2 linked regions of the Arabidopsis thaliana genome follow. The protein of the gene in region 1 interacts with the protein of each later gene in a pairwise test. Each region holds a gene or a part of one and is shown on either strand. Other genes may lie near its edges.

What was found.
Region 2: the proteins of PYL5 (region 1) and HAI1 interact in a two-hybrid assay, tested with the Arabidopsis thaliana proteins (one study listed by BioGRID).

Annotation. Positions count from the first base shown.
Region 1 is NC_003076.8:1,606,182-1,611,717, reverse strand, and holds PYL5 (Polyketide cyclase/dehydrase and lipid transport superfamily protein), read right to left. Parts: upstream 2,731-5,536; 5' UTR 2,345-2,730; coding exon 1,733-2,344; 3' UTR 1,191-1,732; downstream 1-1,190. Other genes in the region: AT5G05430 (RNA-binding protein), read left to right, coding at 5,448-5,465. UniProt on the Arabidopsis thaliana protein: Receptor for abscisic acid (ABA) required for ABA-mediated responses such as stomatal closure and germination inhibition.
Region 2 is NC_003076.8:23,892,906-23,899,602, reverse strand, and holds HAI1 (PP2C protein (Clade A protein phosphatases type 2C)), read left to right. Parts: upstream 1-2,663; 5' UTR 2,664-3,105; coding exon 3,106-3,582; intron 3,583-3,665; coding exon 3,666-3,968; intron 3,969-4,337; coding exon 4,338-4,443; coding exon of another isoform or gene 4,444-4,466; exon of another isoform or gene 4,467-4,575; coding exon 4,576-4,931; 3' UTR 4,932-5,199; downstream 5,200-6,697. Other genes in the region: AT5G59210 (myosin heavy chain-like protein), read left to right, coding at 5,984-6,019, 6,117-6,204, 6,292-6,338, 6,604-6,693. UniProt on the Arabidopsis thaliana protein: Acts as a negative regulator of abscisic acid (ABA) signaling for stomatal closure in leaves, and controls water loss during leaf senescence. Activated by the NAC029/NAP transcription factor during ABA signaling in senescing leaves.

The DNA of each region.
Region 1 (5,536 bases):
TTACGTATCTTCATTTTTGTGTATTATAAACAAAAATTACTTTTAAAATTTTAATCATTTGTGTATATATGGATTTGAATATGGTGGTGACACGATGATAGTGATAGAATAGTACAAATATGTTTATCTCAATTTATTTGTTCGAAAAGAAAGAAAAAGAGGATGTTTTACCAAACACAAAATAAAGTGATACAATAGATTATAAATATAAAGAATTTTGTAGCAATAAATACTATGATATTTAATACTTATCTTTTGATTCGTACCAAAAAAAAATAAAAATTGTTATCTTTTGAGTTTTGATATTGGTTATACATTTGTTTTTCTTTACATCCAATATTATATAGTAAGATAATTTTAATAACACTAATCAACATTTAATCAATAATATAGTAGTGTGCTTGATGATATATAATACTCTTTTGACAAGATTTTGATAATTTGTTATTGTCCTTGTTTGTATTATTATTAAAAGGAAATTGGATAAAAAGAAATATTAACTCTTTAAGACCGGCATAAGGGTTCGTTGTATCATATCCCACTAGGGGCAGAAAAAACTAGCAAGTTGCAACGCGTTTCCAGCTAAATTTTAATTGCATGTCCTTTTAGACTTTCTTAAATACAAATTTTGAATCGAACGAATTATAATAAACCCACCAGAACAAAAAAAAAAAAAAAAAAAACAGTAGACCAAAAACTTATATTTGAATTAAATATAACCCACTAGGTTGGTTGGTTATAATTTATTAACAAAACAAACGGGAATAAAAAATGATAATCTCCACTTGACCAGACTAGTAGCCAATGAAAGACTAGTTGGTAATAGTTTAAGCACGTCTACTTTTGCTTTAGGTCTAATATATATGTTTTATGTAAATGCACATGCTAATCAGGTTTAAATTCCATAACCTGGTTTATAATTTCCCTCTTAGTTAACACGCAGTTCCATCTACATATAGTACCTTCTAATAAATTGTTACGTCCCGAGAATATTATGTGTAATAGACAGATAATTCGAATATATATACTCAATACTTAAAGGTAATTTGATGTTCCCTTAATATGATCCATGATGACGATAAATCTTAAAGTTAAACGAATTGGAGTTTTTTTATTTCTGAACTTTTATCTCTCTGGTAATATTATAGACAGTGGAACAGTTATTGGCTTCATTCTAATTGATTCTTAGATCAGAATATCGGCTTTGTATTATATTTTCTATTTAGAACATTTGGACACAAGGATCAACCAACAAAAAACAAACTTATAGTAATGTTACATACTATGAAGAAATAAATTAATAAGTCTATCATTAACAATACCGATGCATCAAATATTCATTTACAAACCACAAAAGAAAAAAACGGTTAAGAGTAACATTTAAAAGAGTACAAGAAATTAAACAATGTCACAAAGAATGATACCATGTACAAAACAACAAATGGATTAATTCATTTAACAGATTCACCTTAAAATGTTTTATGTACCAGTACTAACACCCTCCAAATCCAAAGTTTTGTGAATCCCCCAACAGTACTTCGAAATTTCCAACATAAATCTCCCAAAGAAATCCCCATTAAATTACAATTCTTTCTAAGCCGATATATCTATTTAAAAAGAAAGAAAAGGTACTCGAAATTTTCTTCCTTGTAAAGAAGATCGAACATCTAAAAGAAATAGAACAACAAAAAAAATTAGATACATAATTGCAATTTATATAAGAAAGATGAGATTATTGCCGGTTGGTACTTCGAGCCAGAGACTGAAGGTTGCACCGGACGATAGTATCAACGAAGCTTAGAGTTTCCTCCTCCGTGTTTCCCGGCGGCACATCAACGATGTAAGACTCCACCACCACGGTACCTTCGTCGTCCGACGCGTGTAGTGTCGTCACCGATCGGTAGTTCTTGAGCCTGTGGTCCCCACCAACGACACTAAAGCTTATCACGTGACGCTCCTCGTCCAAGATCTCGAGCCTCTCGGTGCTCGAGACCGCCGGGAGTCCAGAGACCACCATGACCTCCCGGAGATCGCCGACGTGTAGTCCATCGCCTTGGACGATACGGCACTGTCTGATGAAGTTCTTGTAAACCTTCGGATTATCGAAACGCCGCACAAGAGCCCACACGGACTCAGGCGGCGCGTGGATCATCTGCACCACCGAGGAGCAACACTGGTCCGGACCAACGTCGTGTGTGTGGTGCATCGCAACGTGTTCAGGGACATGCATACCGCGCGTGAGACACACTCTCTTGATCGGACCATCGGTCTGATCGTGAGGCTGCAGCGTGTGGAAACCGTTAGTGGCGTCTGAGCCGTGTTGGAGTTGCACCGGTGACCTCATGATCTCTCCTCTATCTCTTAATTTGTTTTTGGGAGAATTTATGGAATCGTATATATTGCGATCGAGAGAGAAATAAGTTTGATGAGAAAAGAAGAGAGCTAGCTTTTTGATCTTGTTCGCTGTCGGTTGTCAAGTTGGTTTTGTTTGAGAAATTTAAAAAGTATGATCATCTTTTATTTTATAACAATAACAATAAGATATGAACATTGTGTGTTTTTAAAAATATATATTTGAAGATAGATGGATAGAGATAGCTGGGGATGTGAAGGCTTTGTGTTTGTATGTATATAGAAACAGTTGTGTATATAGACGCATTTGTATCATATAGATGTGTGTGACCATGTATGATACATTGTACCATCTTATGCCCCCATGATTTCTTTCCTCAGACGCCTCCTTCATTATCTTGAATATATATCACCAAAATTAATTGTATTCTATAGATCCCTCATTTCCATCTTGATAAATTTTATATTATAGAATCTACAAGGTTTATCTACATATGAATACTGTTAATAAATTGTTCATAGAAAAAACTGAAATTTCAGAATTAGTTTTATCTTTTTTTTTTAAATAAATCATTAGTTATAGTAAAATATGTTGCTGTTATTGTTAAAATTTACTTATTATATGCACATTCTGATCTTAATCTACTAAAGTGATAGTTATGAGAAATAACATGTACAATTTTTGAATATCACACGACTGTAACGCGCATGATTGATTGATTGTGGTAAATTTTAAGATAGACATGGTCATCATGGCGAAGTAAAAACTACATACATGCATGAGCACACGTGCATGCACAGATGTTGATGGGTTTGTCATATATGTGTAAATGGCGTATGTAAATGTGGTGTATGTATGGAGAGAGAAAGTCGGAGGACGGTGAGAGACCTTATCAAAGAGCTTACGCCGGACGAAGCAAGTGGATGTTGCAACTTGCAATCTTCTTTGGACTTGTTTAGGTGGAAGATTATCCTTTCCTTTTTTTCTCTATTTTCTTTTGTTCTTGTTGCCCATTTTTATATTATATTCTCATCATATAGTACAAAGGTTGTTGCATCGCGACTTTGTAATTTTTTCAATAAATAATAATATTTTGCGACATGGGTATGGTACTCTACATCAAGTTTCATGTACACTCGAATTGTATAGGCATGCAAACGTGCAATTTTACTATTTTTTTCTAAACCAACTATGATAATTGTCGTAATTAATTATAGAGGAATGCATTCAGTAATCCCACTACATTTTTTGAAAAGACTGATCTACAAGAAAATAATATTTATACGGTATAAATTATACCCTGTCAATGAGATAAAACGTAAAAAAAAAATGTAATCGTAATTTGTAAGACTAGTTAATAAATCTTGTGGGTTTTTAGAAATATTCGACCATCACACCAAAAAAAACAAGAGACCACATGTGGGTTTTTAGATTTTGTTTAACTTTCTAATTAAAAATTCAAGGCCCAATCGTTTGTTTTTTTAAAAATATTATACGAAATCATGCCCTGTAAGAATAACGAGAGAGCTTCACGGAACTCATAAGACCATCTCCAATGGTGAGAGCCTCCTAATGGGATCTCACCATTTTTTAAGTATAAATCTTTTGAATTTGTAAGATGAGAGCTTCTGATTTTTTTGAAAGATTTTTCATAGTCCAATGGTAAGTCTCTTTTAAAAGAGTTGTCTGGAAAAAAAATTATTCACAATAGAAAAAATGAGAATCATAGAAGAAATGTCTAACATGAGAGGCTGAGACCATATATTCACAATTCCTTACCATGTGAAAGCAAGTAAATAAAGAGGAATGAGATAGGAGAGAATAGAAATGCAGTAGACTTCTTGACAAATTAAAACATAAAGGTCAAGGTCAATAGAAATGTAAAACGATATGTGGAATGTTCCGTTGTATGGTTCCGGTCAGACATGATATTACTCTGTTGGAAACTTGCTGCAGGAAATAACAACATATCAGGTTCACCACTAAATGATTGCAAAGGAAGATCTATGGAAAGTACATAGATGCACCAACAATCTAAACACATGGCCATCACCTTTCCAAGCTTGTAAGCCCTCTTCACTTAGAAGAGCAGAACCAACGAAAATGAGTTCCTTCACTCAGAGTATAATCAACCAAAATGAGTTCCTTCACTCACTTTTGAGAAACTGCAAGTGGTACAGCCAGAAAAATACCCACCCAAATGGATTATCCCCTGAAGCTCTCTCTATTAGCCATCAAAAGTGATATTAGTCAGATACAAAACACCGTAAAGGAAACTATCGAAACACAAAGATTAGACTTTACCACAGGTGGGGTTGAAATATACTTCACTAGCTTCTTCACGTTAGATGGGTATCTCAAATCAAAGCCAAGATCCCTTAATCAACCTAAAATGTCCCTAAATTCTTTTCCAAATCACCACATTAAAATCACAATTAGAACCTCAAATTCCACAACCTTTTGCAAATTCTAGTTCAATAGCTACGAGAATCAAAGAGCAATCGAGAGTAAAAGTCCAAAACCCAGACAGACAAAATAAAAGAAAAACAATAGGACAATGAAAACCGAGAGACAATCGAATTTAAGAACAAACAAAAACAGTTCTATGAATCAAGACGAACGATAAGATTAGAAGAACAAACCTTGCAAAGTATGGAATCCATGAATCTCAGAGCCGATAAGCCTACCGAAATCAACGTCGGCCAGCTCGTTTCAGGTAAGTCCAATGATCCTCAAAGTCCCAGTGAAAAGATGATAGTAGAGAAAAAAAACGGAAAAAAAAAAGAAATACTGAAAAACAACGACACGTATGCGTCTCTCTTCAGCTCCAAAATCTCTCTTAAGAGAAACGATTCTCTCAGTATTAAACCTTTATGATTTATTTTTTTCCACAATAATTTAGAGAGACTGTCATGAGAGCTCCATTTTTCTCCCGTTGGAGATGCTCTAAGATACTTAATAGGAACCATATGGGGCTAACTAATTCAAGGCCCAAAATAAAAAGAAAAAAACAACTATAAATGCCCTCTTCAGACCTAAATTAAATCTGTTAAAAGGGTTATCGAGTCTCGCTCTTGTCGAACAAATTTTAGCCATGTTCTCATCCACCATGGTACTCTACTCTTATGGCTTTTCTGATTCACTCTGGTTTCTTATCTTTGTTTCTCAATTGATGGTTTCTTC
Region 2 (6,697 bases), about 22 Mb from region 1:
CGACCTCAACGACCATTAACCGCAACGTGGGGCTTGTGTCCGACACGCGTCTCCTTAGGCCTCAAAACTAGACTTTAGAGTTAAACCTTATTTATGTCTTGTGGACAATGGTGACACCTCATTGGTTCCTCGTAATTGCCGAACTTTCTTTCAAACAACTTACGTTTAGATTGGAACATTAAGCTTTTACAGACTAGTGGTTAGGAATAGGAAAAATATTTGTGTTTTGAGTTTAAAGTTTGTGTTTTTCAAACTAGATGTTGAGTTTGGCGCATGGTTTTGAAATAAATTTAAACAGGAGAATCCATTAAACACATAACTCAACATCGAGTTTGAAAAATGTATGAGATCGGGCATTGTTCATTATCAAGAAAAGCATTTTGTATTAATGTATATAACTAATCATGTGTGATGTGGAAATTCCAACGACAAATTGGTAAGATTTCAATTCAAAGTTACAAAACAAAGACGAGATAATTAATCAAACTAGCTAGGACAATATATTGTCTCCTTACCGAAAGCTCTCCAACCACCTACTAAAGTAACTAACCATGTTTCAGTTATAATTTTATTTTTTCGTATTCCTATCAAGTATCAAATGATATAGTTAACCAACATTTATATATATATATTGAAATCACTAAACAAACAACAAAAGTAACATAGATTTTAATGGAACTAATTTTCACCTTATATTTTTACATAAGATTTGAAAGTGATGGTTAGTGACTTGTTGGTCGATGACGAATTTGTTTTCAGGTTAAATTTTAATAATAATAATATTTGAAAGAAAGATGAAGCTTTCACGTGGCACAATGTATTTGCCTACTGTCAACTTCAAAAACCTGGCAACTGCTATGCAGCTTCAGAGGACACGTGTCATGTGTTACACACGCGCTTCGTTTTTTTTCAACCTTTTGATTTTGTTTTGTTCTGTGATGTGGGACTCACATAATTCAAATCATCATCCTATTGCTTGCCGCCACGTCCCAGAGAATTTTCCGCGAAAAGCTGAGCTTCTCTCTTTCTTTCCTTAATTTTAGTTAGGTTATGAATTATTTTTGTATTAATACTAACTAACTAAAATATCATCATCACATTACATAAACATAAGATTCATCGGCGTAACGTAAGTAACAGTTAAAGCCCAAATTACAACTCTCGATCCTACTTAATGCATAGTAAACGAATGTTGACACAGAAAAAATCTTGGTCAAGACATAAAAGTAGAGAATGTAAACACGTGTCGAACATCGAGGAAGAAAACAGGTCAGAGAGGGGTCAACGTTGTTAAATGTTAGTAATAGAGAAGTGGTCCCCAGTTTCCACCAAAACCCATCTACGTACTTGTATCTCATTGGATGTCATTCCTGATTGATTTAGAATTGAAAACGTTATATTTTGTTTATTTCTAATTGTTGATTGAATATCTTATAATTTTTGCCCACAAAAGAAAATTATAAGTGTATAATATATAGTTCACTCGAATTTAACATGTCCATTGTCCAATGTAGAACGTATGATCATTTCTGTTTTTCAGTTGCTTTTATTTTAAATTCCCAAAAACCCAATATTGTGTCAAACATTGGAGAATGATGTTCACTTTTATTGTATTCACAAAATGCTACTTATCAACTAAGAAAATTGTAATGTCAAACATAAGATGGTGATATTTTAAAAATAGATGTAAAATTAGTTTAGAACTGTCTGATAAGTCATAAGATTGCACGATTATAAATCATTGAATATTCCGGACACTTGTCAAGATTAAAACCATGAATAAGTTTTCAAATTCATTTTCATCATCTCAATTGTAAAACTAGGTAAGATATCCTTTAAAATCTTTGAATATTAGTTCCCCGGCCCATATAAAATCTCTTAAATATATTTATTTGAAAACTCTGACTGTTTGCACTTGCAGCATAAAAAAAGGGATGAAACAAATGGAACAAATGCAGAACAAAACTAATAGACCAGACAAGTAAAACAAACGAAACAAAACAAGTGTTGAAATGATAACTCACAAATTTGAACTTACTTTTCTAGCAAATAAGAAATTGTTCTAATTAAAAAAAAAAGCATATGCAGTCTCAAATTGTTTCTAAGAAGTATTCACGCACCAAGGTTATATTTGTAGTGACATATTCTACAATTATCACATTTTTCTCTTATGTTTCGTAGTCGCAGATGGTCAATTTTTTCTATAATAATTTGTCCTTGAACACACCAAACTTTAGAAACGATGATATATACCGTATTGTCACGCTCACAATGAAACAAACGCGATGAATCGTCATCACCAGCTAAAAGCCTAAAACACCATCTTAGTTTTCACTCAGATAAAAAGATTATTTGTTTCCAACCTTTCTATTGAATTGATTAGCAGTGATGACGTAATTAGTGATAGTTTATAGTAAAACAAATGGAAGTGGTAATAAATTTACACAACAAAATATGGTAAGAATCTATAAAATAAGAGGTTAAGAGATCTCATGTTATATTAAATGATTGAAAGAAAAACAAACTATTGGTTGATTTCCATATGTAATAGTAAGTTGTGATGAAAGTGATGACGTAATTAGTTGTATTTATAGTAAAACAAATTAAAATGGTAAGGTAAATTTCCACAACAAAACTTGGTAAAAATCTTAAAAAAAAAAAAAGAGGTTTAGAGATCGCATGCGTGTCATCAAAGGTTCTTTTTCACTTTAGGTCTGAGTAGTGTTAGACTTTGATTGGTGCACGTAAGTGTTTCGTATCGCGATTTAGGAGAAGTACGTTTTACACGTGGACACAATCAACGGTCAAGATTTCGTCGTCCAGATAGAGGAGCGATACGTCACGCCATTCAACAATCTCCTCTTCTTCATTCCTTCATTTTGATTTTGAGTTTTGATCTGCCCGTTCAAAAGTCTCGGTCATCTGCCCGTAAATATAAAGATGATTATATTTATTTATATCTTCTGGTGAAAGAAGCTAATATAAAGCTTCCATGGCTAATCTTGTTTAAGCTTCTCTTCTTCTTCTCTCTCCTGTGTCTCGTTCACTAGTTTTTTTTCGGGGGAGAGTGATGGAGTGTGTTTGTTGAATAGTTTTGACGATCACATGGCTGAGATTTGTTACGAGAACGAGACTATGATGATTGAAACGACGGCGACGGTGGTGAAGAAGGCAACGACGACAACGAGGAGACGAGAACGGAGCTCGTCTCAAGCAGCGAGAAGAAGGAGAATGGAGATCCGGAGGTTTAAGTTTGTTTCCGGCGAACAAGAACCTGTCTTCGTCGACGGTGACTTACAGAGGCGGAGGAGAAGAGAATCCACCGTCGCAGCCTCCACCTCCACCGTGTTTTACGAAACGGCGAAGGAAGTTGTCGTCCTATGCGAGTCTCTTAGTTCAACGGTTGTGGCATTGCCTGATCCTGAAGCTTATCCTAAATACGGCGTCGCTTCAGTCTGTGGAAGAAGACGTGAAATGGAAGACGCCGTCGCTGTGCATCCGTTTTTTTCCCGTCATCAGACGGAATATTCATCCACCGGATTTCACTATTGCGGCGTTTACGATGGCCATGGCTGTTCCCATGTACGACGTCGTTTTATTATAAAAATTATCCTTTAATTGACCGTTACGACGTCGGTTTTTAATTTTAATAATATGATGTTTAGGTAGCGATGAAATGTAGAGAAAGACTACACGAGCTAGTCCGTGAAGAGTTTGAAGCTGATGCTGACTGGGAAAAGTCAATGGCGCGTAGCTTCACGCGCATGGACATGGAGGTTGTTGCGTTGAACGCCGATGGTGCGGCAAAATGCCGGTGCGAGCTTCAGAGGCCGGACTGCGACGCGGTGGGATCCACTGCGGTTGTGTCTGTCCTTACGCCGGAGAAAATCATCGTGGCGAATTGCGGTGACTCACGTGCCGTTCTCTGTCGTAACGGCAAAGCCATTGCTTTATCCTCCGATCATAAGGTTTTGTTCGTTTTTTGATAATCTCTCTTGTTTCGTTTATCCATCGTTAAATGTTTATCCGTTAGATCTACGGTTATGGTTTACTCACTGTAATGAAACGAGAATTTCGTTACGTGTTGCGTTCGAAACTTACCTATTAATATTGTTTAATGCATTTTTTATTTATTATTTCATTTATTGGAAATTAGAATCTTCTTTAATGTGCATGCAACACCTGGACGACGATTAAGAATGTTTAATGACTTTTTACTTTTTAGATAGAGGATCTGATAAAGTTTATGAGTTTTAAGATTCTTTAATCCTTCGTGTCACTGTTATCAATGACTATATCATTCTCTCTCTCTCTCTTGTTTAAATTTGTTGTAACAGCCAGACCGTCCGGACGAGCTAGACCGGATTCAAGCAGCGGGTGGTCGTGTTATCTACTGGGATGGCCCACGTGTCCTTGGAGTACTTGCAATGTCACGAGCCATTGGTCAGTTAATTGATTACACTTGACGAAAACACTCTTGTCCCTATCCTAATGTTTGTACAAAGTTTTTCCGTACTTTCAATAATGATGATTATTAACTCTCGTTTCGCCGCGGATTTTTTTTTTTTTTTTCAGGAGATAATTACTTGAAGCCGTATGTAATCAGCAGACCGGAGGTAACCGTGACGGACCGGGCCAACGGAGACGATTTTCTTATTCTCGCAAGTGACGGTCTTTGGGACGTTGTTTCAAACGAAACTGCATGTAGCGTCGTTCGAATGTGTTTGAGAGGAAAAGTCAATGGTCAAGTATCATCATCACCGGAAAGGGAAATGACAGGTGTCGGCGCCGGGAATGTGGTGGTTGGAGGAGGAGATTTGCCAGATAAAGCGTGTGAGGAGGCGTCGCTGTTGCTGACGAGGCTTGCGTTGGCTAGACAAAGTTCGGACAACGTAAGTGTTGTGGTGGTTGATCTACGACGAGACACGTAGTTGTATTTGTCTCTCTCGTAATGTTTGTTGTTTTTTGTCCTGAGTCATCGACTTTTGGGCTTTTTCTTTTAACCTTTTTTGCTCTTCGGTGTAAGACAACGAAGGGTTTTTAATTTAGCTTGACTATGGGTTATGTCAGTCACTGTGTTGAATCGCGGTTTAGATCTACAAAGATTTTCACCAGTAGTGAAAATGGTAAAAAGCCGTGAAATGTGAAAGACTTGAGTTCAATTTAATTTTAAATTTAATAGAATCAGTTGATCATAACAAAATCTTACCTTTTTAAATTTATTTTTTGTTATATATAGGACGATGTTTATAGGAATATTAGAAATGTTAGACTGATATCTTTAAGAATAGGAAAAGAACCAAATATTTACTAAGGAATTTGTTTTCAAGTGTATTTTGTAACTAAACAAGGCAAACAATCGGTATAGAATACTTCAAAGGTTAATTGGGAGGATTCAATATTATAACATTTTTTTCTTATTATGTAAAACGTTTTTTTTTTTTTTTTGCCAACATAATCTATAAAACATGTTTATATAACTCTTCATCAAACGGGTATGGTTCACACTTTATCATGTGACATATTAGAAGATGTCGATCATTAAGACTGAACATTGTTTAAAGTACTTAGAAATCAAAATGATGATTCAAGCTTTGATAACTTCCAACCGTTTCCAACCGCCAAACTTTGGTAACTTTTTTAGAATCGAACTCCTAGCTATCGCCTAACGATTTTTTTGAACATTCTCGTTTTTTTTTCTTTTAAATGTCTTTGCAATTGCATAAACTGGTTTTTTTTTTTTTTTTTTTTTTTTGTCGGAAACTGGTTTTCTTTTATCATCCTGTTTTCAACTTTTATTCAATTTTTTTTTTCTTTTTGAAATTGAAAAACTGGGCTCGCTTTCAAGGTCAGAGAGTTATATATGTCCATGGGCCTATTTAACACTCCTATAAGCCCAAATATAGATATATTCCATTTTTGTCGCCGGCGATTTCCTCACCGTTAAATCGACGTTCGAAATTCCGAGGAGAGGAATCATACCATGGAATCGCACCACGCGTCTCTAGGTCGCCGTACTGTAAGGATATTTCCGATATGGCCGTCTTTATCTTCATCTGAAGACAGTTTCTTACATCGGTGCTTTTTTGTTGTTATTAATTTCTGTGATCTTGTAGTTGGAAGAGATTCGTCAAAAGAGAGCAGCTCAAAGGCTAAGCAAAGCTTCTTCAGGTCCAGATCTTAGTGAAATTCCCAATCCTGCCGGTAATTTTATTCATCTCCAATTTCAATGTTTTGCCATCTCCTTTTCCACTAGCTTTGCAATTTTGATTGACTACTTCATTATTTCAGATTTCCCAGTGATCAGAAAATCTGAGAGCGGAAATCGACTTTCTGAGGTAGCATTTCTCTGCTTATCAAAAATTGTACCTGGTGATCTAATTGGATTCTTTAGAATTGCGACGGTCTTGATAATGAGAATGCCTTAATCGAATCATGTCTTCTAGGATTTATGGACAAATTTGATTTTGCATATTGTCCTGAGGATAGGCTCATTCAACTTTTCTTGAGTAAATGAATGAACATAAATGGGAGTTTTGTATTGGTTTTACTGATATTATGATCTTCCTGGTAATAATGGTTTGTTTTGAATAACTTGTACAGACAGATGTTGGTGCTTTATATTCCCAGCTTAAAGAACTGCAGAAGAAGAATGCAGAAATGGAGGAGCGCAACAAAATTTTGTCTTCAAAGGTCT